Anolis sagrei: one gene and its partner. The protein of the gene in region 1 interacts with the protein of each later gene in a pairwise test. Links are inferred from orthologs where the notes say so. Each region holds a gene or a part of one and is shown in the gene's direction. Other genes may lie near its edges.

Region 1 (12,049 bases):
TAATACAGTTCCTTATGTTGTGGTGACCCCCAACCATAAAAATTCATAACTGGAATTTTGCTACTGTTTTGAATTGTAATGTAAATATTTGATTTGCAGGATGTATTTTCATTCACTGGACCAAATTTGGCAAATACCCAACATGCACACATTTGAATACTGGTGAGGTTGGGGGGGGGGGGGGGGGAAGTATTGATTTTGTCATTTGGGAGTTGTAGTTGTTGGGATTTATAGTTAACTTATAATCAAAGAGCATTTTGAACTCCACCAATGATGGAATTGAACCAAATTTGGCACACAGAAACCCCCCCCCCTTTTTTTTTTGTCGTGTCAGAAGCGACTTGATAAATTGCAAGTCACTTCTGGTGTGAGAGAATTGGCCATCTGCAAGGACGTTGCCCAGGGGACGCCCGGATGAATTGATTTTTTTTATCATCCTTGTGGGAGGCTTCTCTCATGTCCCCGCATGAGGAGCTGAAGCTGATACGAGGGAGCTCATCCGCCTCTCCCTGGATTCGAACCTGCAACCTGTTGGTCTTCAGTCCTGCCAGCACAGGGGTTTAACCCACTGCGCCACCGGGGGCTCCTATAGAACTCCCATGGCCAACAGAAAATACTGGAAAGGTTTGGTGAACATTGACCTTGAATTTTGGAGTTGTAGTTCACCTACATCCAGAGAACACTGTGGACTCAAACAATGATGGATCTGGACCAAACTTGGCATGAAAACTCAATATGCCAAAATGTGAACACTGGTGGAGTTTGGGGAAAATAGAACTTGACATTTGTGAGTTGTAGTTGGTGGGATTTATAGTTTTCCTACAATCAAAGATTATTCTGAACCCCACCAATGATAGAATTGGGCCAAACTTCCTACACAGAATCCCCAGACCAACAGAAAAAACCCCAGTGTTTTCTAATGGTCTTTGGTGACCCCTCTGACACCCCCCTTGCGACCCCCCCCCCCGGGGAAAAACTGCTCTAGTGGAATGTATTACTATATTGTATAGTACAGTATCCTAAAAGATTATTCCTTCATAATATGCTGTGTAACCCTGAAGGGTGGAGTCAACTCTCCATATCTATGGATCTTTTATCAATGGATTCAACCATTCATGGCTTGGGGAAAACATTTAAAACCCAATTTTGCCATTTTATACAAGGAATACCATTTTATTATGCTATTGTAAGTCATGGGACTTGAACATTCATGGAATTCTGTATCTATGGTGCATCCTGGAACCAAACTCCAGTGGGATCACAGTATAGCTTACTTTGTCTTGAAGTAAAGTAATAACATACAATATCTTAGATGAAATAGAAGTGACTAGCTTGATCTTGAAGGAGTTGAGGTTGGTGACAGGGAGCTCTGGCATGGGCTGGTCCATGAGGTCACGAATAGTCGGAAGCAACTGAACGAATTAACAACAACAAAAGATGAAATAACACTTCCTAGCCTAATGAGGAACATTCCATATGTAGACTGGTAAGTAGACAAAACATCGCCTATCTTACAGGTGGGGAATGTATCACATTCCAGATTGGGTATTGGCAAACTTTGGCCCTCCAGGTGTTTTGGACTTGAACTCCCACAATTCCTAACTGCCTACCAGCTCTTAGGCTTTATGGGAGTTGAAGTCCACCCCAGAGGGCTGAAGTTTGCCCATGCCTGTTCCAGGTGCTTTTGGAGCATAATTCCTCTCATCCCTGACCACTGGGCATACTATTGGAAGCTGGGTCCAGCACCATCTGGATAGCTATTGCCATATCTCCCATGTCTTAACCTTAATTTGGGGGGATCCAGAATTTGGGGGAATCTTGAATAAGAGTTTACAGTGGAGATATGCTGGAATACTCCCAAAAGGGATTGGGAAGAGTGAAAGCATGCAATCTTTATATATAGTTCCAACATTAAACATGTAGTGGAGTGTTTAGGCTCAAGCCCAAAGAGATCTAATTTTTGGAAATATATCTTTCACCTGGAATGCAAGTGTAGTATAATGGTCTGTGTTGCGTTATTAGGCAACAGCAAACACTTCCCAAGGGTCTAGGTCTGTGTGATGGATTTTCGAATGATGCGTGCAGATCCAAATAAGGTGGCCTTTTGCAGTTGACAGATCACGATTTTGTCAATGTTTATTGTTTCCAAATGCCAGCTGAGATCTTTTGGCACGGCACCCAGTGTGCCGATGACCACTGGGACCACCTGCACTGGTTTATGCCAGAGCCTTTGCAGTTCCATTTTGAGGTCTTGAGAGCGGCTGAGTTTTTTCTGTTATTGTTCCTCAATGCGACTGTCACCCGGTATGGCGACATCAATAATCCAGATTTTTTTTCTTTTCCACAATTGTGATATCTGCCTTATTGTGTTCCAAAACTTTGTCAGTCTGGATTCGAAAGTCCCACAGTATTTTTTGCGTGTTCATTTTCCACTACCTTTGCAGGTTTATGATCCCACCAGTTCTTTACTACTGGCAGGTCATACTTGTGGCACAAGTTCCAGTGAATCATTTGCGCCACAGAGTTGTGCCTCTGTTTATAGTTCATCTGTGCGATTTTCTTGCAGCAGGTGAAGATATGATCAATGGTTTCATCAGCTTCCTTACACAGTCATCAGCTGATTTTTCGATCCTGGTCTTTATTGCATTTGTTCTGATGGCTTGCTCCTGCAAGAATCAGGCCTTCTGTTTCCTTCTTCAGGGTTCCATTCGTGAGCCATAACCAGGTCTTCTCCCTGTCAACTTTTCCTTCAAGTAACTGCCCATGCAATGCTTTGTTGTGCCAGCTGTCAGCTCTAGTTTGGAGTGCAGTTTTCTTGTACTGGTTCTTTGTCTGCTGTGCTTTGAGAAGTTTTCGATTAGTGACTTCGATTAAAGCAGGTACTTGGCTTTCCTTGTCATCATCATTATTATTTGCTTGCTTGCTTGCATGCTGGTCACTTCTGTGGCGAGAGAATCAGCCGTCTACGAAGACGTTGCCCAGGGGACGCCCGGATGTCTTGCAATCCTGTGAGGAGGCTTCTCTCATGTCCCCCACCGGGAAGTAGCAGCCAATAGTGAAAGGACCAAGGCAGAGACATCTCCAGCTCATCCCCTGTTTGGGTATCAGCCAGCACGTCAATGACTTAAATCTAGAAATAGTTTTCTAAGATCTACAGAGACACTCGCTGGAATACCTCAGCAAGCGAGAGTCCAAAAGTGGCAGGCTCAAACCCAGCACCTCAACCAATGGCTGATACCAAATGAGAGACTCCCCCCTGGGCGCACAGAAAACTGGGTGACTTGGAAGGCACTGAACAGACTGCGCTCTGGCACCACGAGATGCAGAGCCAACCTTCAGAAATGGGGCTACAAAGTGGAATCCTTGACATGCGAGTGTGGAGAGGAGCAAACCACTGACCACCTGCTGCAATGCAACCTGAGCCCTGCTACATGCACAATGGAGGACCTTCTTGCAGCAACACCGGAAGCACTCCAAGTGGCCAGATACTGGTCAAAGGACATTTAACCAACTACCAAACTCACAAGTTTTGTATTTGTCTGTTTGTTTGCTTTGTTCTATTAGAAATGTAATATAACGGAATGGTTGCTCTGACACGACAAATAAATAAATAAAAGTGTTCCATTCGTGAGCCATAACCAGGTCTTCTCCTTGTCAACTTTTCCTTCAATCTTGTCAAGGAACTGCCCATGCAATGCTTTGTTGTGCCAGCTGTCAGTTCTGGTTTGAAGTGCAGTTTTCTTGTACTGGTCCTTTGTCTGCTGTGCTTTGAGAAGTTTTCGATTAGTGACTTTTCCCTTCAATTTTGTCAAGGAACTGCCCATGCAATGCTTTGTTGTGCCAGCTGTCAGTTCTGGTTTGAAGTGCAGTTTTCTTGTACTGGTCCTTTGTCTGCTGTGCTTTGAGAAGTTTTCGATTAGTGACTTTTCCCTTCAATTTTGTCAAGGAACTGCCCATGCAATGCTTTGTTGTGCCAGCTGTCAGCTCTGGTTTGGAGTGCAGTTTTCTTGTACTGGTTCTTGGTCTGCTGTGCTTTGAGAAGTTTTCGATTATTGACATCGATTAAAGCAGGTACTTGGCTTTCCTTGTCATAATTATTATTATTAAACTGCATTAATTCCACAATGCAGATGCACCTCAAAGTTTTGGAACCACAAACCCTAAGGATTGGTGTCTTCTTAATTTGAACTCTCTGCCCCGGAGTATGGTGGAGAATCCTTCTTTGGAAGCTTTTAAACAGAGGCTGACTGGATGGCCCATGAGGTCTCATTCATGAGCCATAACCAGGTCTTCTCCCTGTCAACTTTTCCTTCAATTTTGTCAAGGAACTGCCCATGCAATGCTTTGTTGTGCCAGCTGTCAGCTCTGGTTTGGAGTGCAGTTTTCTTGTACTGGTTCTTGGTCTGCTGTACTTTGAGAAGTTTTCAATTAGTGACTTCGATTAAAGCAGGTACTTGGCTTTCCTTGTCATCATTATTATTATTAAACTGCATTAATTCCACAATGCAGATGCACCTCAAAGTTTGGGAATCACAAACCCAAAGGATTGGTGTCTTCTTAATCTGAACTCTTTGCCCCGGAGTGTGGTGGAGAATCCTTCTTTGGAAGCTTTTAAGCAGAGGCTGGATGGTCATCTGTCAGGGGTGATTTGAATGCAATATTCCTGCTTCTTGGCAGGGGGTTGGACTGGATGGCCCATGAGGTCTCATTCATGAGCCATAACCAGGTCTTCTCCCTGTCAACTTTTCCTTCAATCTTGTCAAGGAACTGCCCATGCAATGCTTTGTTGTGCCAGCTGTCAGCTCTGGTTTGGAGTGCAGTTTTCTTGTACTGATTCTTTGTTTGCTGTGCTTTGAGAAGTTTTCGATTTTTGACTTTGATTAAAGCAGGTTCTTGGCTTTCCTTGTCATAATTATAATTATTAAACTGCATTAATTCCACAATGCAGATGCACCCCAAAGTTTAGGAACCACAAACCGTAAAGATTGGTGTCTTCTTAATCTGAACATTGGGGCTCTCTATGGTGGCACAGGTTTTTTTTTTTGGGGGGGGGTGTAAACTTGTCATTATTATTGTTGCTATTATTATTATTAAACTGCATTAATTCCACAATGCAGATGCACCCCAAAGTTTGGGAATCACAAACCCTAAAGATTGGTGTCTTCTTAATCTGAACATTGAGGCTCTCTATGGTGGCACAGGTTTGTGGGGGCGGGTAAATATAATAATATAATAAAGCGAAGGAAATAAATGGATATAATCCATAATTTCCTTGCAGGGAACATAGAATAACCTATGCACCATTTTGTCCCTCTCCTCCTCTTTCTGCTCCCCTCCGTCCCTCCCTCCGAAGGCGCCCGTCCACTTTAAGGCGAGGGGCGGGGCCGGGGCTCGAGCTCTCGCGCGGCTTGGAGGCGGAGCTGTCGCGAGCCCGTGCGCGGCCGCTGATTGGCCGCGGCGGGTTGAATGTAAGATGGCGCCCAGGGAGCTGTGAGGGGAGAACCAGACGCGGGGCCTGAGGTGGCGAAGGCGACGGCGGCGCGAGGGCCGGGGGTGAGGCGGAGCTGGGGCCAGGCCGCGGCCTCTTACGGCGGGATGTCGGAGGGAGGAAGGGAGAGAGCGAGGAGGAGGGAAACGGGGCCTCGGTGGGGGGAAAAGAAAAATATAGGAGGGGGTTAGGGGAGGGGAAGAGGCCTCAGTGCGCGTGCACGCGTCGGTGATTGACGGCTACGAAGAGAGAGGGCGGGATCGGGGCCCTGTCTCCTTTCTCTGTTCTCCCCTTGTGTTCCGGGCCGCGCCTTGGCGTTCCAAAACTCTCTCTTTCTCCCCCCCCCTCCTCCTCCTCCTCTGCGGCCCCGCCCACTGGGAGGAAAAGGAGAAGGGGGGCTGGCGCGCGGGCGGGCGCGCGCGGTGGATAGAATCCTGGGGACGAGACGAGGACGCGCGCGCGCGCTGCGCCTTTGGAGTGTGCGCATGCATGCTCGCGCGCTGTTTCTTTTTCTCCCTCTGGCCTCGCAGCAGGATTTGAGGGGCCTTTCCGCTGCTGTCGTTGCTGCTGCATAAGCTGCGTCTTGTGTTATCTATCTCTCGCTCCGGGCCTTTGGCGCTTGCTTTGGGCCTTTCCATATACACCAAGGCAGAAAAAAACCCTACAATATCTGCTTTGAACTGGGTTGCCAGAGGGCCACTTCCCCACAGCCCTATATATTCTAGAATATTAAGGCAGAAAATCCCACATTATCTGAGTGTGGAGTCAGATATCCCAGTTCAAAGCAGATATTGTGGGATTTTCTGCCTTGATATTCAGGGTTATAGGGCTGTGTGGAAGGGCCCTGGGTTATCTGAGTCCATACACAGATAATGTGGGATTTTCTGCCTTGATATTCTGAGGTATAGGGCTCAGAATATCCACACTGCCAAATAATCCAGCTCAAAGCAGAAAATGTGGGATTTGATTCAGCTGTGTGGAAGAGGCCTTTGTGTCTCCTGGACGATGCTTATTTTCTCTTCCCACCCTTTTTGGCCTGAAGGTTGCGCTGGAATAACGGACGAGGCGGGGCCTATTCTTTTCTTTTTGGTGTGGCCTACCAGTCCGCAGTAATTTATGACAGGTTGATCCAAAAAGCCTTTGAAATTGCCCACATTGAGTGACACCTTGGCTTTCTTGTGTTGTACTATTGTGGATAATTTGAGGGTTTTTAATTGTTGGTCTTAGTGTATTAACATAACTGAATGTTTGCCCTTTTTGCTGCCCTCAGTCCCTTCGGGGAGCGAAGGCGAGTTAAAAATAAAGTTGATTATTATTATTCTGGTGATCCAGTATAAATACACTTTTGTCTCCTGCATAAAATTATTATAAATTATCTTCAGGTTATCTATGGAAATATCGAAAGGCCCTTCCACACAGCCCTATATCCCAGAATATCAAGGCAGAAAAACCCACATTACCTGAGTGTGGGCTCAGATAACCCAATATCTTCCTTGATATTCTGGGATATAGGACTGTGTGTTTTGAACTTGAATGTATGGCAGTGTTGACTGAGATAACCCAGTTCAAAGCAGATATTTGTGGGGTTTCCTGCCCTGATATTCTGGGTTATATAACTGTGTGGAAGGACCCAAAGAGACTCCAAGGGCCAACTCTCTTCTGTTCATAGGCTCATATAAGGACGTTTCCACACAGCTATATAACCCAGAACATGAAAGCAGATAATCCACAATATCTGCTTTGAACCGGGTTATCTGAGGGTCCTTTAAGTGGGCCCTCAGATAACCTGGGATCTCATCTCAGATTTTCTGTTTATCCCAGATTATCTGGCAGTGTGGACTCATACAATCCAGTTTACAGCAGAAACCTGAGATCGGATCCTGAGATATAGGGGCTGTCTAAATCCACAATGCTATGTAATCCAGCTGTGTGGAAGGGGCCATAAAAGGGACTCCAAGGGCCATTCAGTTCCAACTGTATTCTGCTCATAGATTTATATAAGGGCCCTTCCACACTGCCATATAATCCAATTCAGTGTGAATGCTATACATCTATGTGGAAGGGTCCATAGAAGAGACTCCAGGGGCCATTCAGTTCCAGTTGTATTCTGCTCATAGAGTCATATAAGGGGACTTTCCACACTGCTATGTAATCCAGTTCAGTGTGGATTTTATACAGTTGTGTGGAAGGTGCCATAGAAGAAACTCCCAAGAGTCATTCAGTTCCAACTCTGTTCTTCCATGCAGAAACACCAGCTCAAGCACGACTGTAGAAATCATGAGAAATACATGTATATCAAATCCATGTATCACCATCTGTATTTTGTATTTTATTGTAAGTAATATTTACTTAAGATTTATTTAAGATTTAGGAAGGGTTCCTGCAGGCCAATAAAGGCCTACTTTCAGAGAAGGGGGCTCCACTAGGCTCCAAGGTAGAAAGCATGATACTTCACTGCTGAACAGCTCTTACCATCAGGAATTTTTCCTAATATTGTTTTATTCACACATCACTAACATTCTCCTTTTTTAAAGTATAAACTTTAAAAATATTAATTAAAATGGACGAAATAATAGGAGACATTATTCAAAAGGTGGAATCTCTTTTCCAGCACTTTGAATCCATTGTTCAATGTCTTTGTTTCTGGAGCAGCAGAAAAGAAGCTGGTTCCATCATTTATTTGATATCCTTTCACATATTTCAATATAGCTTTCATGTCCCCTCTCATCGTTCTTTTCTCCAAGCTAATCATACCCAGCTCCCTAAGCTGCTCTTTATTAGGACTTCCAGACCATTTTGGTCATGTTCCAGCTTGTCATCTATATCCTGTAAATAAAGCGTACATGGAAGACAAGTGAATTTCATGCTTGGACATGGGTCCCATGTCCAAGAATCCCCAAATACAGGGTGAGGCAGCATAACTTCCTTTTTCAAAACTTAATAAAACCCATTGTATGTATCAGATTTTTTATAATGTAGGCGCATACCTAAAGTTTTGTTTTACGTAGTTTTGAAGATCAAATTAGGTAGGTGACGTCCCCCATTCTCCATACACTGATTAAGCCGATTTCTGGCGTTTGTCGTGACTCTTGCCAGCATAGCAGGCGTTATGTTGGCACTTTCTTCCTGGATGTTGGTCTTCAAATCTTATAGGGTCCTTGGACGGTTCACATAAACATGGGATTTCAAAAAAACCCCATAGAAAAAAATCACAAGGGGTCAAATCTGGAGAGCGGGCCAGCCACTCCAAATCCACTCGAAAAGTAGGCCTCAATGGCAAAAGCACTCTCCTCACTGTTCCAACGCATGATGGCGACTGAAGTGTGTCAGGACAAAACTTTGTACTCCCACCTCTGGAACGAGACCACTAGCTACATCTTTAACCGACTGAATATTGTGCATTTAAAAAAAGGAAGTTATGCTGCCTCACCTATGCTGCCTGTATTTGAGATATGGGATTCTCAGCCTGTACTTGTTGAGAGCCTTATGGATGCTCTGTAGTGAACAGTTTCCACTGTGAAATGCATATGGGCCTGATAGGCCAATTTAAAGATCCTATGGAGGTGTGGCTATTTTATAGAATTAATGCACTTTTACACCACTAACTGCCATAGCTGAATGCAATGGTATTTGGGGATTTGCAGTTTGTTGAGGCACCATCACTATTTGGCAAAAGAGGCGAAAGACCCTGCAAAAGTATAAATCCAATTATTCCATAGCATTGAGTCATGACAATTAGAGTGATATCAGACTGAATTCTCCAGTTAGGTTCATGCTAAGTAACTTTTTTCCTTTCAGTTTATAATAGTTTCTGTATTTCACCTTTTTAAAAAGGGAATACCTTTTGGATAGTGTTCTTTATTTGTAATAGCTAGTTAGACTATTCTTCCTCTTTAATTAGGCTCAACTTAGAAATAGGTGAAGGAATCAATTGACCTCAGTGAACCAGTCTATTATGTGGATTATATCTTGAGCATCTTTTGCAGTTTTGAGGTAAACATAAAGGTGAACAGATTTATTTGGGCCAAACCCATAATGGAAATATTTCCTTTCATTCACTTGTATTTCCATATTTATTTATTAATTTACTTCATTTATATACCACTTTTCTCAGCCCTTGGGTGACTCAAAGCAGTTAACAATAGCAAAATTCAATGCTCAACATCATAAAAACAGTTAAAAAACAATTAAACAATGACATAATAAATAATAAATTAAACATCAATATAACATCTCATTAGCATCTCATAGGTAGAATCAAGATCCAATCTCATCATCCGTTGTTCCATATTCCCATAGGACCTTTTAGGTTATCAAAAGCTTTGGCTGATACATCTGTACAGGTAAAGCACAGCAGATGTCTAGTATGGAAATTCCTGCACCTGCTCTCCATCGTGTCTTACCTAGTGGAACGGACAATGAATCCTTTCTTGGTGGAACTCTGATTGGTCTTGGGTGGCTTACTAAAAGAAAAATATTGTAGTACAGGCAGTCCCCAAGTTACAAACATCTGACTTACAAATGACTCATAGTTAAGAACAGGGGTGAGGCAACAGGAAATGAGAGAAATATAGCCCTCGGATGGAACATTATCTCCTTAAAGACTTCTTACCAATCTTTGTTTTCACAACATGCCAATTTTTTGAAAATCCAATTATCACAAGGACTGAAAGTGAGGTGAAATCTTCTGAACAAGGGCTCAGACAAAACAAAACAAAAAAAAAACCACCCCAAAACACAGGAGTATTAACCCATCCCTGTGCTATCCAAAACTAAAATGTATATTTTTTCTGGAATTACACTTTAAAATATACTTAACAAACAAATTCAACTTAAGAACAAACCCTCAGAACGTATCCTGTTTATAACGTGGGGACTGCCTGTAGATGTCAGCAATGTCTGTTTTGAGGTTTAAAAAGTGCTACCCTTACACATTAATGCTCTTGGTTTTTTCTCCCATATTTTTCCCATCATTGAATTCATGACAGTTTACAAAGCTTTCTAAACAGTCTTCCATTCTGATCTAAACCTAGACTTGGTTCACTTTCATTAAAGTTCTGTAAGAAAAGACTGCCACCAGTAATCAAAATCTAGGCTATTTGAACATCAAATAGCAGTTAATCCATAAAATAAAATTCTACTCAGTTAATCTTCCCCAAAAGAGCAAAAAGGAATGACCAGTTCTCATTATCTTGTTTTTTCTACATCTAAAAAAAGTTAATGCTTCTCGTTTTCATTATATTTATCATAGTACTCCAAAGCATACAAAATACAGCTAATATTGTCTATGAAAAATATTTTGGGTAAAAAGTAAGGTCACATTGCCCTTCATGTTTCAAATCCTGTAAAGCTTTATTCAATATTTCTACTAGACTTAAAGTAAATAGTTTGTAGTCATCAAGGAGATAGGTATATAATTCTTCAGCTCAGATGCATTTCATTCTTGCTTAAGAACCAAAATAATACAAAGTATACAGAATTTTCCTAGATGTCAGAATGAAATTATTTTAAGGAAACTTGTTAATACCACTAAAAAACATCAGAGAGGGGGAAAAATTTTAGGCATTAGAAAAGCTGTTGAACTCTAAAAGCAATGAAGTGTAACACCAGGAGCTCCCAGTAGGGCAGTGGGTTAAATTCTTGTGCTGACAGGTCAGTGGTTTGAATCTGGAAAGAGCGGGTTGAGTTCCCTCTTACACCTCCAGCTCCCCATGAAGGGACAAGAGAGAAGCCTCCTACAAGGATGGTAAAAAAATCAAAACATCTGGGCATTCCCTGGGCAACGTCTTTGCAGACGGCTAATTCTCTCGCACCAGAAGCGACTTGCAGTTTCTCAAGTTGCTCATGACACACAAAAAAAGTGTAACATTGGCTTCCCTGTATATATTTCTTAAAATAATAGGTAAAATGTGGCTGGATTGCATTTATTCGTTCTGTCTTGTGTAGAATAGAATGTAATGCTTCATCTCTCTTGGGGGTAGAAAGAGTTCTCTTTGGACGTACCATGTGACCTGGCCTCCTCAGAATCAGCATCAATAGATGGTCATCTAGTCCTGACTTGTATTGATTTTACTGTAATGGGAGTTGTGTGGCAAAGTGTAATGTTCAGCCCTGTACTTCTCTGTAGTGTCTTTAAGTGCTCATGCTCTCTTTTTCCCCTTGTTCTATGTCAGCCCATCTGCACTTTGAAAGGAAATCATAAAGGTTTGTTCTTCTCTTGCACTTGACATATTCTCAAAATATATTTAAAAAATAAAGTTGGATCATTCAGTCTAACCTCATTCTGCCATACAGGAAAACACAATCAAAGCATCCCCAACAGATGGCCATCCAGTTTCTGTTTAAAAATCTCCAAGAAATGAGACTGACACACTTCTAAGCAGCATATTTTGCTGTCAAAACAGCTCTAATAGTCAGGAAATTCTTCCTAATGTTTAGGTAGAATCTCTTTTCTTACACTTTGTACCCACTGCTCTGTGTTTTAATCTCTAGAGCTGCAGAAAGCAAACTTGCTCCAGCTTTAATTTGACATCTTTTCAAATATTTAAACATGGCTAACAT
Region 2 (12,049 bases), about 130 Mb from region 1:
TATTTGCAAACAAAATTTGTGAGATTATGTGTGAGATTTTGATTATTATTATTATTATTATTATTATTATTATTATTATTTCTCATAACAATGTCCCTGCAGCTGCAAGCTGGGGCGCTGACTGAGACTAGTACTAGCACACATCTGTTTGGGACATCTTCATTAGCATTATTAATAAATGTCTCACTCTATTAATTGCTGTTTGTTGGTAGAAATCCATAGCTAAGTAGCACAGGCCTAGCTGCTAACTAATGCATTGCCACATCTGCTGTTGATTTTGGTGGTGGGGAGCCAATAAAACACAGTACAACTGTGTGAATTGCAGAAGGGCTTGTTTGAAGCTCCACACCAGTTGGTGCAAAAATGGTAGACACTGACTCACTTTGATGGGTGTCAGTAAATGCAAAACGACAGCAAACTTGCAGCTGAGCTACTATTTTGGGAATAAATGACTTATGTGAAATCTGTGGAGTGTCCTATGAGCTTTAACCCTGAGGAAATTTAGCAGAATGTCGAGGAGGGACTGAGCTGTTTCTCAGGCTGTGATGTGTGTCCGGTCCTAGCATCATTTCTGAGATCATGCCAAAACAAAACCTTCCTGAAGTTTCTCATCTCTCTTTGTTGAATATGGGCACTAGTGAGCTTTAAAGGGAGCTGTTGCCTGGATTTTAGGCAGAATTTTAAGTGGTTTTCATTTGTTTTAGATTCACCCAGAATTGATGGGTGTGAGCATGAAGATAATATATTTTATTTTAATGATTGCTTAGAAAAAAGAAGATATAAGTCCATAGAAAAAGCTGGAGAGATACACAGGGGACGTGTGTGTATCTATATAAATAAAAATGTAATGTTCGTTTGTGGGATTAACAGAACTCAAAATCCACTGGACTAATTGACACCAAATTTGGACACAAGACACCTAATAATACAATGTATGTCCTTCACTCAAAAAATTGATTTTGTCATTTGGGAATTGTAGTTGTTGGGATTTATAGTTCACCTACAATCAAAGAGCATTCTGTACCCCATCAACGATGGAATTGAACCAAACTTGGCACACAGTTCTCCCATGACCAACAGAAAATACTGGAAGGGTTTGTTGGGCAGTGTCCTTTGGTTTTGGAGTTGTAGTTCACCTACATTCAGAGATCACTGTGGACTCAAACAATGATGGATCTGGACCAAACTCTACATGAATACTCAATATGCCCAAATGTGAACACTGGTGAAGTTTGGGGAAAATGGAATCTTAACATTTGGGAGTTGCAGTTGCTGGGATTTATAGTTCACCTACAATAACAGAATTCTGAACCCCACCAACGATAGAATTGGGCCAAACCTCCCACACAGAACCCCCATGTGGGCCACAGCAACACGTGGCAGGGGATGGCTAGTCTTTATATATGTCCTATATTTATAGCTCTGACTCTGAAAGGGGTTTTTGGGGAGGGAACAGTGCAGCGCCATGCTCTCTTGCTTCTTGTTGTGTGACTTCAAGTCCAATGTATGGCAGCCATAAGGTGAACCTACCCTGGGTTTTCTTGCAGGGTTTGTTCAGAAAGTTTGACTTTTCCAGAAAGGGTTTCCATGATCAAGTGGGGAATCAAACCCTAGTCTCCAGAGTCATAATCTAACTCTCAAACCACTATACTATGTTGACTCCTGCTTGTTTCTTACAAGTTTCTTACAAGCATTTTTACAGAATGAAATATATGAGAAGATATTCTATGATAAAGATGACTGGGCATGAAGCTTAACTTTGCTGGGCCAAAATAACTTTTGGATTTGGTTACTACACACCTTGAATTGCATAGAGTATAGGGAGGACAGACAGACTGAGGGCCCTTCCAGACAGGCCAAATATCCCAGGATCTGATTGTGGTTTTCTGTTTATCCCAAGTTATCTGACAGTGTGGACTCATATAATACAGGTTAAAGCAGAAAACCTGGGTTCAGATCCTGGGATATTAGGGCTGACTGGAAGGGCCCCGAGGCTGTAACATGGCTGTAGCTTATCCTGGAATTAAAACTTGACTAAGGATAGAACAACAGAAAGGATATGATGGGTGCACATTGGCTTTTGCCCCAGTGAGGACTGCAAGATCCTCATCCTTCTTGCACTATGCAGTTATTGCATTATTATCACACTTTAATTGCTATGACTGTATCCTGTGAATGTTGGGATGTGTAGTTTGGTGTGATACTAGAGCTGAAAATGTTAGGCAATTCTACATTGCAAATCCCAGGAGTCCATTGAATAGAACCATGGCTCTTAAAGTGGAACTATAGAGCTATACTTGTGTGGTGTTAAAAGGCCCACTTTCTGCAGCAGTGGTCAAGATTCCTCAGCAACTGCACAAAACCACAGAGGAGTTCAGTGAGCTCTTTTGCATGCTTACTCAAGTCACAGCTGTGCCCAGAAACTGAATGGAACTTACTCCGTAGTAGTCAGTGTGGATTTTGGCCGGCATGAAACACATGTGTGCTCTTAATGAGTGTGCAGGGATTGGCTTGGGAAGTGAATACATTTCATGGTGAGTGCCGGGAAAAGGCAGGCCTGAGTCAATGGATGTGTCCACTAAGCCAAGAATTTTAATTTAAAAACTGGAATATCTGAATCCAGCTCTGCCTTTGAACCAGCCCCATATGTCTGTTCGTGTGTTTGAGTTGGGGAACTGGATCCAGAGAGAGAAAAGCTTTTTCTGACCGAGCAGAACAACGGAGACTCCATAGCTTCCTCTTGCCTGTTTTCATGGACCCCCACCTTACTCCAACCCATTTAATACTGAGGGGAGGCTTCACAGCGAGGAACCTAAAATTACACACAAGCAAAACATGACACATTATTTTTCATTTGCTCCATTTAACGCGTGGCAGGAATTAATGGGTTGAAATGACGCAGAGTTCACAAATGCTGCTGCCATAGTCCGAATGAACTGCAGAAAGTGTGCAGGGGGAAAAAAGCATTTCAAAATAGATGTAGCTTTGAAAAACAACCCTCTCCCCCAACAGAAGTCAAACTTCTATTTCTCTTATTTTAAAAGGAGGTGCTATGGGAATATTTAAACCTCAGGGAGAGTTAGCTGAGCAGCTGCAGGGCAGAAATGTTGCAGGCTGGCTTGGAGGAAGAGAAGGGACATGTTTCATTGGGTTGTTGTAGGTTTTTTCGGGCTATATGGCCATGTTCTAGAGGCATTCTCTCCTGACGTTTTGCCTGCATCTATGACAAGCATCCTCAGAGGTTGTGAGGTCTGTTGGAACTAGGAAAATGGGTTTATATATCTGTGGAATGACCAGGGTGAGACAAAAGACTCTTGTCTGTTGGAGCTAGGTGTGAATGTTTCAACTGAACGCCTTGATTAGCATTTGATGGCCTGGCAGTTGCCTCCTTGTGGACCTAGAGGGGACATCCAGTCGCTGGATCGGATGGATAGTCATCTTGGTCCAACAATCATGATAACATCAAGGAGAGCCTGCATTAACAAGGGACCTTTGGACAGTTCTTGAAGGTGACAACTCCCAGAATCCCCCAGACAACATGGCATTTACTGTGCTAAAAAATATTTCCAAGCTCTGGTTAGAAAGAGATTTTCAAATCACCTTCAACATCTCTCCACCACTACTACTGTTGCCATTTTTGCTGCAGTAGTTTAGTCAGATTGCTTCAGACCCAGGAGCACAGCCTTCTACTGAGTCAAGCTCATATAAATATCTAAAATATACCCTCCAACATTTCAACTGGATACGTGCAGACAAGTAAAATCAGATTGTTGTCAAGATGACAAAAAGTTATTAATGTGGAATAACAAACAAAGAGGCTGCAGCATTTTGCTTTGGCCTGAGCTGACTGGGACGGGGAAGATGTCGCCCCTCTTTTTCTCTCTCCCTGCTGAGTTAATGGAGTGCAAACTATTTTTGCCTTTTGAACTCAATTTGTAGCTATTATGAAGTATGCTGAGGACAAAGTGGGAAAGTGGGAGGATAGAGAGAAACCGATATTTTTAAAGCAGCCGAAAGAAATGGGGCAACAGAGTATTAATCAGGATTATCCTTGCCAAATTTGGATAGTTGGAGAGTGTCAGAAGTGTAACCCCCCAATTCCACTTGCTTCCTCGCCATTTTTGGGGAAAGTCAGAAGCCACAGTCTGACCAGCTGCCCAAGAGGAGGTGCTCTAACCTCGAAATTGGGTGTTTTGGGAAAAGTGAGACTGTTTTTCAGTCAGATTTGGAAAGAGCAGCAATTGGAGCATGGTATACTCACGCTTCACTCTGCTGTCCTTTTATTTTATGGGACTCTTTAAAAAGAAGCAAACACCCACATTTCTTGTGTGTTAATTTTATGTGACTGTAAGCTCCTTTAGGGTTTGCACCAGGCAGGGAAGTAAAATATTATAAAATATTGTAAAATAAATAAATAATGTATGAAAAATAAAGGAAGGGGAAGCGAACTGGAATAGCCAGCAATAGAAGAGCCATCACCTCATAGTCCTGTATATCACCAATCTCTTTCCTGGGTTTGAATCTCTACTTTAATCTAGCTGGTTGCTTTGAGAGGGTGTGTTATATTATATGATATTATATTCACCATTCGGGGGTACTTTGAATGCAATTTTCCTGCTTCTTGGCAGGGGGTTGGACTGGATGGCCCATGAGGTCTCTTCCAACTCTATGATTCTGTGATCTCTTTTTGTATAACTTAGTATAATATTCATTAATACATATGTCAAATTTACTATCCATTTAGGTTTTGTTCCCAGTCCTCGAGGCTTTGAGTGGTTCCCAGTAAAATTTGATATGCACAGTAACAACTAGAAATACAACTAAATTGTATATATTTCTTGTTTTCTTCTTCAATGGGTGTGCCATTGATTGTTTTTAGTTTTGTTGAAAGTTATTTTAATTTTACATGATTATCCTTTCAGCTGCAACCTTTGTAGACCTTCTTAAGTCCTAGGAGGAAAGGGTAGCATGTATGTGTGTATATACACTAATAAGATTATTATTATTATTATTATTATTATTATTATTATTATTAGGGTAGCATGTACGTTTGTATATACACTAATAAGATTATTATTATGATTATTATTATTATTATTAATTATTATTATTATTATAGCAGTCTTTGTTCAATGTCTTACCCATCTCCTCCTATCAGCTTCCCTGGCAACACCAGAGGCACTCCAAGTGGCCAGATACTGGTCAAAGGACAGTTAATCAACTACCAAGTTTGCAAACTGTTTTTTTATCTGTTTGTTTGTTTTGTTCTGTTAGAAATGTAATACAATGGTCTGGTTGCCCCTGACACGATAAATAAAATAAGCTTCTCTAACTTTAGCATCTCTTGATCAGAGCCCCTTTTCCTGAGATCCCTGTTTGAATAAAATGTAGCAGGCTTTCCAGTTGCAAGCATGTCAAGTTCCAGATTCCAAGGCCTTTCTACCATTTTGTTTCTCAAGCTTCTACACACCATATCAAGGTTTCCTATTTAGATGACGTAATACATGTATCCTTGCTCCCCACTGTTCCCCCGGTGGCACAGTGGGTTAAACCCCTGTGCCGGCAGGACTGAAGACCAGTAGGTCGCAGGTTCGAATCCAGGGAGAGGCGGATGAGCTCACTCTATCAGCTCCAGCTCCTCATGCGGGGACATGAGAGAAGCCTCCCACAAGGATGATAAAACATCACATCATCTGGGCATCCCCTGGGCAACATCCTTGCAGACGGCCAATTCTCTCACACAAGAAGCGATTTGCAGTTTCTCAGGTCGCTCCTGACACGACAAAAAAAAAAAAAAAAGGCCTTCCTTGATACCCAATATCCCACCATGTGTACTATACCAAACTTGCTATCCTGACCATAGGGTGCATTAGGACTATAATCCCCATCAAAGGGGATTCCTTAGTCTTTCCAATAGGCAACTGGTTGTTGCCTTGTTCAACCCCATCCCTTCTCATGGTCACTGCATTCATATCTACAGCATTATGGCTCCTGGTCTGAGGCCTGTCATGTGGACAGGAGAAAGACAATTGCTGTACTCAAAAAGCAAATAGCTTCTTAAGAGAGATGCTTGTGAGGTCCACTTGGTACAAACAGTGCCAGTAAAGTATTATTTCCTCTGATAGGAAGTTGCATGACATTTTGCATCACTGGCTTCTTCCAGAATTCTAGCTCTTCTTAGAGTAACTTCTGATGTGATTTTAAGTTTAGTTTGATCCTTGATTTTTGCCATCCATCTGAATTAGGGTTTTTTTTTTAAAAAAAGATAATATTCTGATTTTCTGCAAACAATTGATTTTATATGTTTACATCCTAATTAATTAACACAGGGGAATTGTAAACAGAGGCATCATTTCCCTTTTAGGAGAGACAGAAATTCTGCTTCTAGTTTGTTTGGAATTAAGTCTAACAAAAGCTTGGATTAGGACGCAAGGAAAGGTGAGGGTGGGTTTCATAATGCAGGAGTGAAAATTCTGTATGAAACATTAGTTTCAATTTACTTAGTTCCCCATATAACTATTGAGTGTGTGTTTGCCTATGCATTTTCAGTACTGACTTTCAGGAGGAGTCTCTTGCCCTGTTTATTTATTTTTTGTGTGCTTGCTGTGCATAAAACACCTCCAAGGAATTTTCAGAGACTAGGACATTTAACACAGTGGAAAAACCTCCTCTGTGCACCCCCCCCCCCCCCCCTCTTGCCAGCACTTGGCAATATTTTAGCAACCAGCAGTTTGGAGAATACCAGCGACTTTTTGCGTAGCAGCTTCTGGGTAGAAACAGCTTCCAGCAAATCCAGTCTTTGTTTTTGAACCATAACAGTGTGGTGGTGGAGTCAGCTTGGGAAAGAGGACTTCTTTTGGCTCTGGTAAGAGAAGCTAGTAGATTTTTGCATTTCTTTCTTTAAAAAAATAAGCCAAAGTTATACATGTTGGGGGATGATTCGTGGCAGGGAGAAACATTATCTTTGATTTACAGGAGGGGGAAATGCCATTACTTTAGATGAGGCTTACCTGACTAATGTTATTTTGTGAAAGTGAATAAAATTCCAGGTTTTAGACTTTTTGATCTGTCAAATCTAATTTGAAATATCAATATCAATATAGTGATTTATGAGTGAGACCTATTTCTAAAATATTTCAATGTTAAATTAATATATGTTTGCTAATGTCTACCATTTTCTGATAAAAGGTGAACATGACAACCTGTAATTATTTTTCCCCTTTACTTTTTTCACATGTCAAATGGTAGAAATGAGATGTCTTCTCCTGAAATGAATTTTTTCCATTATGAATGTTCAGGTTTTATATAGTATTTTCCACTGGTAAGACCTCAGCTTTAACATAGCACTGTTTCAATTCCATATCCTTCTTATATAGATTTATTCTCAGTTGCTTAATATCTCTGTTTGAGGGGGGAATTGTCAAAAAGTTTTATAGTTGCAGAAAAAAAGAAATCCCGTATAAAGAAAATGTAAAGCATCTAAAATGAGAGAGAAATGACAAAGAAGCGAAGGGCACCATCCACCAGGACTCTGCCTTGTGCCAGGATTGTAGAGACGAAGGGGAGGTTGGCAAAGGCTGACTGAGCCCTTGCACAGATCGCATTCATTTCAGGGCTGGCACAATGTTTCGCTTCCCAGTGAATTTTGTGGTAAGATTTTTATTACCTTTAAAAATACACAGTGTGACTTTAAAAATAAGTTATTTAATCGTTTTAGAAAGGAAGGGAAGCAAACAGTCTTAAAAAAAGAAGAAATCTGAAAACTCACCAACAGTTGTTGGTTGAAATATTGCAAGGCTCTAATAAAAGGCAATCTTTTAGCTGAGTTCCATTGTAATGGCTTGGAGGATTTCTGGAGGGGAAAAAAAATCAAGAGGACGGAAAAAGCTTGTATTAAATTTCAGTAGCTGTGCTCTTGATGGGGCAAGTACAGCAAAGAAGAAAATGCCTGAAGAAATTTCCTTGCTATACTTTATGTAATCTCAGGATTATCTGAGATGGGCAATTATTGTGCAGACTGAAAGGCAAAGGCAGAGCTCTTGATCTGGGTAATTTTGTGAAAAGATCTAAATAAATCTAGACAGGGACCTAAGTACTGCTGCCCATGAGTTTTCGGTTGAGTCTAAAAGTACATGGTTAGCATAATCTGACCGTCGTATAATTGAAATTGAATTGTTTGGCATTTTTTCCCCTCTCACTCCTTTTGGAGACCAGAAATATTCACTGCAAGCTATCCAGAAATGTTCAACTCCTGACTGTAAATGCAAAATTGAAAAACAAACATATGCTTGCTCTTTTTCAATATTTCTGGATTCATTAAATAGGAACTTGCGGCCTCGAAGTGAGAGTGGGGAAGAGAGCGGTGGTTTCAACAAAACCTGATCTTTTCAGCAAACCAGATCATGGTCAAATATTGTTCCAAAAGTATCGGGGCATGCAGGCCTCACAGAATATGAAGCCAATTGCTGCACATTATTTGCAGCTCATAATAATAACTAGCCCCATTCCTTGTTCGCAAGGTCCATAGCCTCACGCCGTGGCAGGAACTGTGGCTTCCTTCTCTGCCGCAAGTCAAAGGCAGGTGAATGGCAGAAGACATCAGCTCAGAGAGTGCAGAAGGGAGAGGAGCTGGAACCGCAGGATTTTTAGCTAAAAGGAACTAGAGGCTGGGATTCCAGATTATGTGCCCAAATTTTAAAAGGTACTACTGATAAATGCTCAAGTTTTCTGATCACCGTGACTGATCAGGAATTTACTAAATACAGCATTCCAGATTTTCAGGCAGCTAGCAGACATTTGAACAAAGGTGCTTCAGAAGCCAGCATGCTAACCAATTATCATTTAATTATAAACCTATAGTATAATTATACTACTTCCTAAACCATCTGAGGCCTTATTAAGAAAAATGAAATTAAAATAAATAGTTTACAAAATAAATACCTACAAAATGCCTTCATACAAAATCAGTGATTTGATAAAATATCAGTGTTAAGAAGGAAAAATATGTTGGGTGAAAAGCCTATCCCAAATTCTTTTCTTTTATGTCTTTCTGATGTTTTAAAGAGAGATTTATTTAAGTGCTAATGTCTTTCCCTTTAGAAACAGTAATATTTTAAAGCACTAAACCGATTGGGTCATTTCTGAATCTTAAAAGTTACATGACAAAAGCTGGAATCTTAATACCTGTCTATGGTCCTCTGGAAGAAAAACTATACTTTGTAGCTTGAACATTTTTTAAAACGTTCTGATTAAGTTCATTTCGGATGGATAGCATTGCAGATGGTGTATCAGGAAAACAAAACCTTACTTATCTTGTTCTTTCTGAAAGAAGGGAGAGGTTCCAGGATCACTTGTGGAATACTTCATTCTATACAGTTGTGGGCTGCGTTGAAATGGTGGCCCTCTTCAACAAAAAACCTCACATCAGTGTAGCCCTGAACAGCCTCGAAATATTCAATAAGGAAATCACATTTTTTTGTGTGGCAGAAATGGGCCATCTAGGAACTCATTTAAAGGTCTGTTTCCTTAATTCAAAGAAATATATACTCTGGCCTTCATTTTCAGCAATCTGTACATCAAACTTGTGCATAATTTGCATTTCAGCTTGATATTTGAAGCTGGCAATTTCCGTGGTCTCCTTTATGTCCAGCAAAGAAATAGCATCATGGCAAGTAAGAAATGAAATGGAGGCAGCCAGGCAGAGAGATGAAGTGTGATAAGGGGAAGATTGGTCTTGAAGGAGATGGGAGATCCACCTGGGTTTCTGTGGGCAAGGACAGAATATCCATAAACTCAGGGACTTGAAACAGGTCCTTTAAAAAATAAGTGAACTCAGGTTTGTGAATCCAAATGTGTGCAACTAGACCTTTCAACTGACCATGAAACAACAAACTGGTTCAAGATTGGGAAAGGCGTATACTCTCACCCAACCTATTCAACTTGTATGCAGAACACATCATGCAATGTGCGGGGCTTTACTAATGCAATGCTGGGGTGAAAATTGCTGGAAGAAACATTAACAACCTTAGATATGCAAATGACACTACTTTGATGGCCAAAAGCGAGGAGGAGCTGAGGAGCCTTCTAATCAAGGTGAAAGAAGAAAGTGCAAAAGCTGGGTCGCAGCTAAACATAAAAAACCCAAGATTATGGCAACAAGAATGATTGGCAACTGGGAAATAAAGGGAGAAAATGTGGATGCCGTGACAGACCTTGTATTTCTAGGTGCAAAGATTACTGCAGACACAGACTGCAGCCAGGAAATCAGGAGACACTTACTTCTTGGAAGGAGAGCAATGTCCAATCTCGATAAAATAGTGAAGAGTAGAGACATCACACTGGCAACAAAGATCCACAAAGTCAAGGCAATGGTATTCCCCATAGTCACGTACGGATGTGAGAACTGGACCTTAGGGAAGGCTGAGCGAAGGAAGATAGATGCTTTTGAACTGTGGTGCTGGAGAAAAGTGCTGAGAGTGCCTTGCACCGCAAGAAGATCCCAGTAGTCCATACTTCAGGAAATAAAGCCCGATTGCTCATTGGAGGGAAAGATAGTAGAGGCAAAGCTGAAGTACTTCGGCCACATCATGAGAAAAAAGGAAAGCTTAGAGAAGACAATGATGCTGGGGAAAATGGAAGAAAAAAGGAAGAGGGCCCGATCAAGGGAAAGATGGATGGATGGCATTCTTGAAGTGACTGGATTGACCTTGAAGGAGCTGGGGATGGTGACAGGGAAGTTCCGACAGGGAACTCTGGCGTGGGATGCTCCATGAGGTCCCGAAGAGTCAGAAGCGACTGAACGAATGAACAACAGACCTTTCAAAACTGTGTGCATGGAATCGCATGAGACTAAAGATCTGGTATGTTCATGCCCATTCCAGGGTGGATTAGACCCAAATGTAGAGAGATGGAGAAGGGAGTTACAGTGGCATCATCTTCAAAAGTCTGAATTACTTTTTCATTCCCACCAGCTGAGTTCAGTAAATCAAGAAATGGGTTGCCGAATCCCTCACAACAGGTGCATTTCTTTTTGGAACATCACTGATCTGAGAGCCATAGATTGAATGTTACTTTGAGTGCATCTACATAGTAGATTTAATGTAGTTCGACAACACTTTTACTGCCGTAACTGTGGGAATTGTAATTTTACAAGTTTTCTCTGCCAAAGCTAGCAAGGAAAGCTAGCGTTCACACCAGGGTATGGAATTGTGCCATCTTGCAGATGTCGTTGAACTGCAGTTCCCATCAGTCATAGCCCAGCTAACAGTGAGAAATTCTGGGAGTTGCAGTTTGACAGCAATTGAAGAGATACATCATTGTTACCTTTTGTGACTCATATTATAAATAGGGCCTAAAGACAAAAGACCTAAAAAATTCCAGATAAAAATAAATTTCAAGTGCCTCACCAAACTACCATCTCCCAGGATTCCATACCATTGAGCCATGACAATTAAAGTAGTGTCAAACTGCATTAATTCTACAGTATAGATGCATCCCTCATCAGCATTACTAGGATTGCAAGTCAGGCTGGCCTTGTCAGGATCTCTGTGCAACAAACCAGGCTGTGAGTGAGACTCACATTTCATTATTTACTGAATATGGATCTAGTTTAAGTCCCAGATTTCTTCAGATTCAGAATTAAAGAACATAAGATTTAAGAAGGTATGCATTTCGGAGAAATTAAAACTACAGGATAGATTCATCCAGAGGTCTGGATGCTTCACTAAGAGACTCTGCATATTTAATTACAAGCAGACACATCCAGTGTTGAAAAAGGTTGAAGCTCATGCGCTTGGCTGGCACAAATGGATGAGGATATAATGTTAGCGAATTTGTTGACTAATTTACCAACATTTGCAAATTTCTTTATATTTCCCAGTGGAAAGAATTTGAGGTTTAAGAACTTCAAGGACAGGAGAAAACAAGATAGACAATTTTTCAATCTCTATCAACAAGACCTCCCTTATGTGACAAAGTACTCCCTGTATGCCTTTTAGACACAACTACCAATATCCCTATGACAACATTCATTTCCCTTTGAGTAGTCTCA

What was found.
Region 2: the proteins of QRICH1 (region 1) and NFIX interact in binary tests that used the Homo sapiens proteins (3 or more experiments, as listed by UniProt). The two-hybrid records come from large-scale screens. The link is inferred for Anolis sagrei from reciprocal best matches to the Homo sapiens genes QRICH1 and NFIX.

Annotation. Positions count from the first base shown.
Region 1 is NC_090022.1:28,347,423-28,359,471, forward strand, and holds the start of QRICH1 (transcriptional regulator QRICH1), read left to right. Parts: upstream 1-5,437; 5' UTR 5,438-5,553; intron 5,554-12,049. UniProt on the Homo sapiens protein: Transcriptional regulator that acts as a mediator of the integrated stress response (ISR) through transcriptional control of protein homeostasis under conditions of ER stress.
Region 2 is NC_090022.1:162,838,705-162,850,753, forward strand, and holds the start of NFIX (nuclear factor 1 X-type), read left to right. Parts: upstream 1-6,757; 5' UTR 6,758-6,865; intron 6,866-12,049.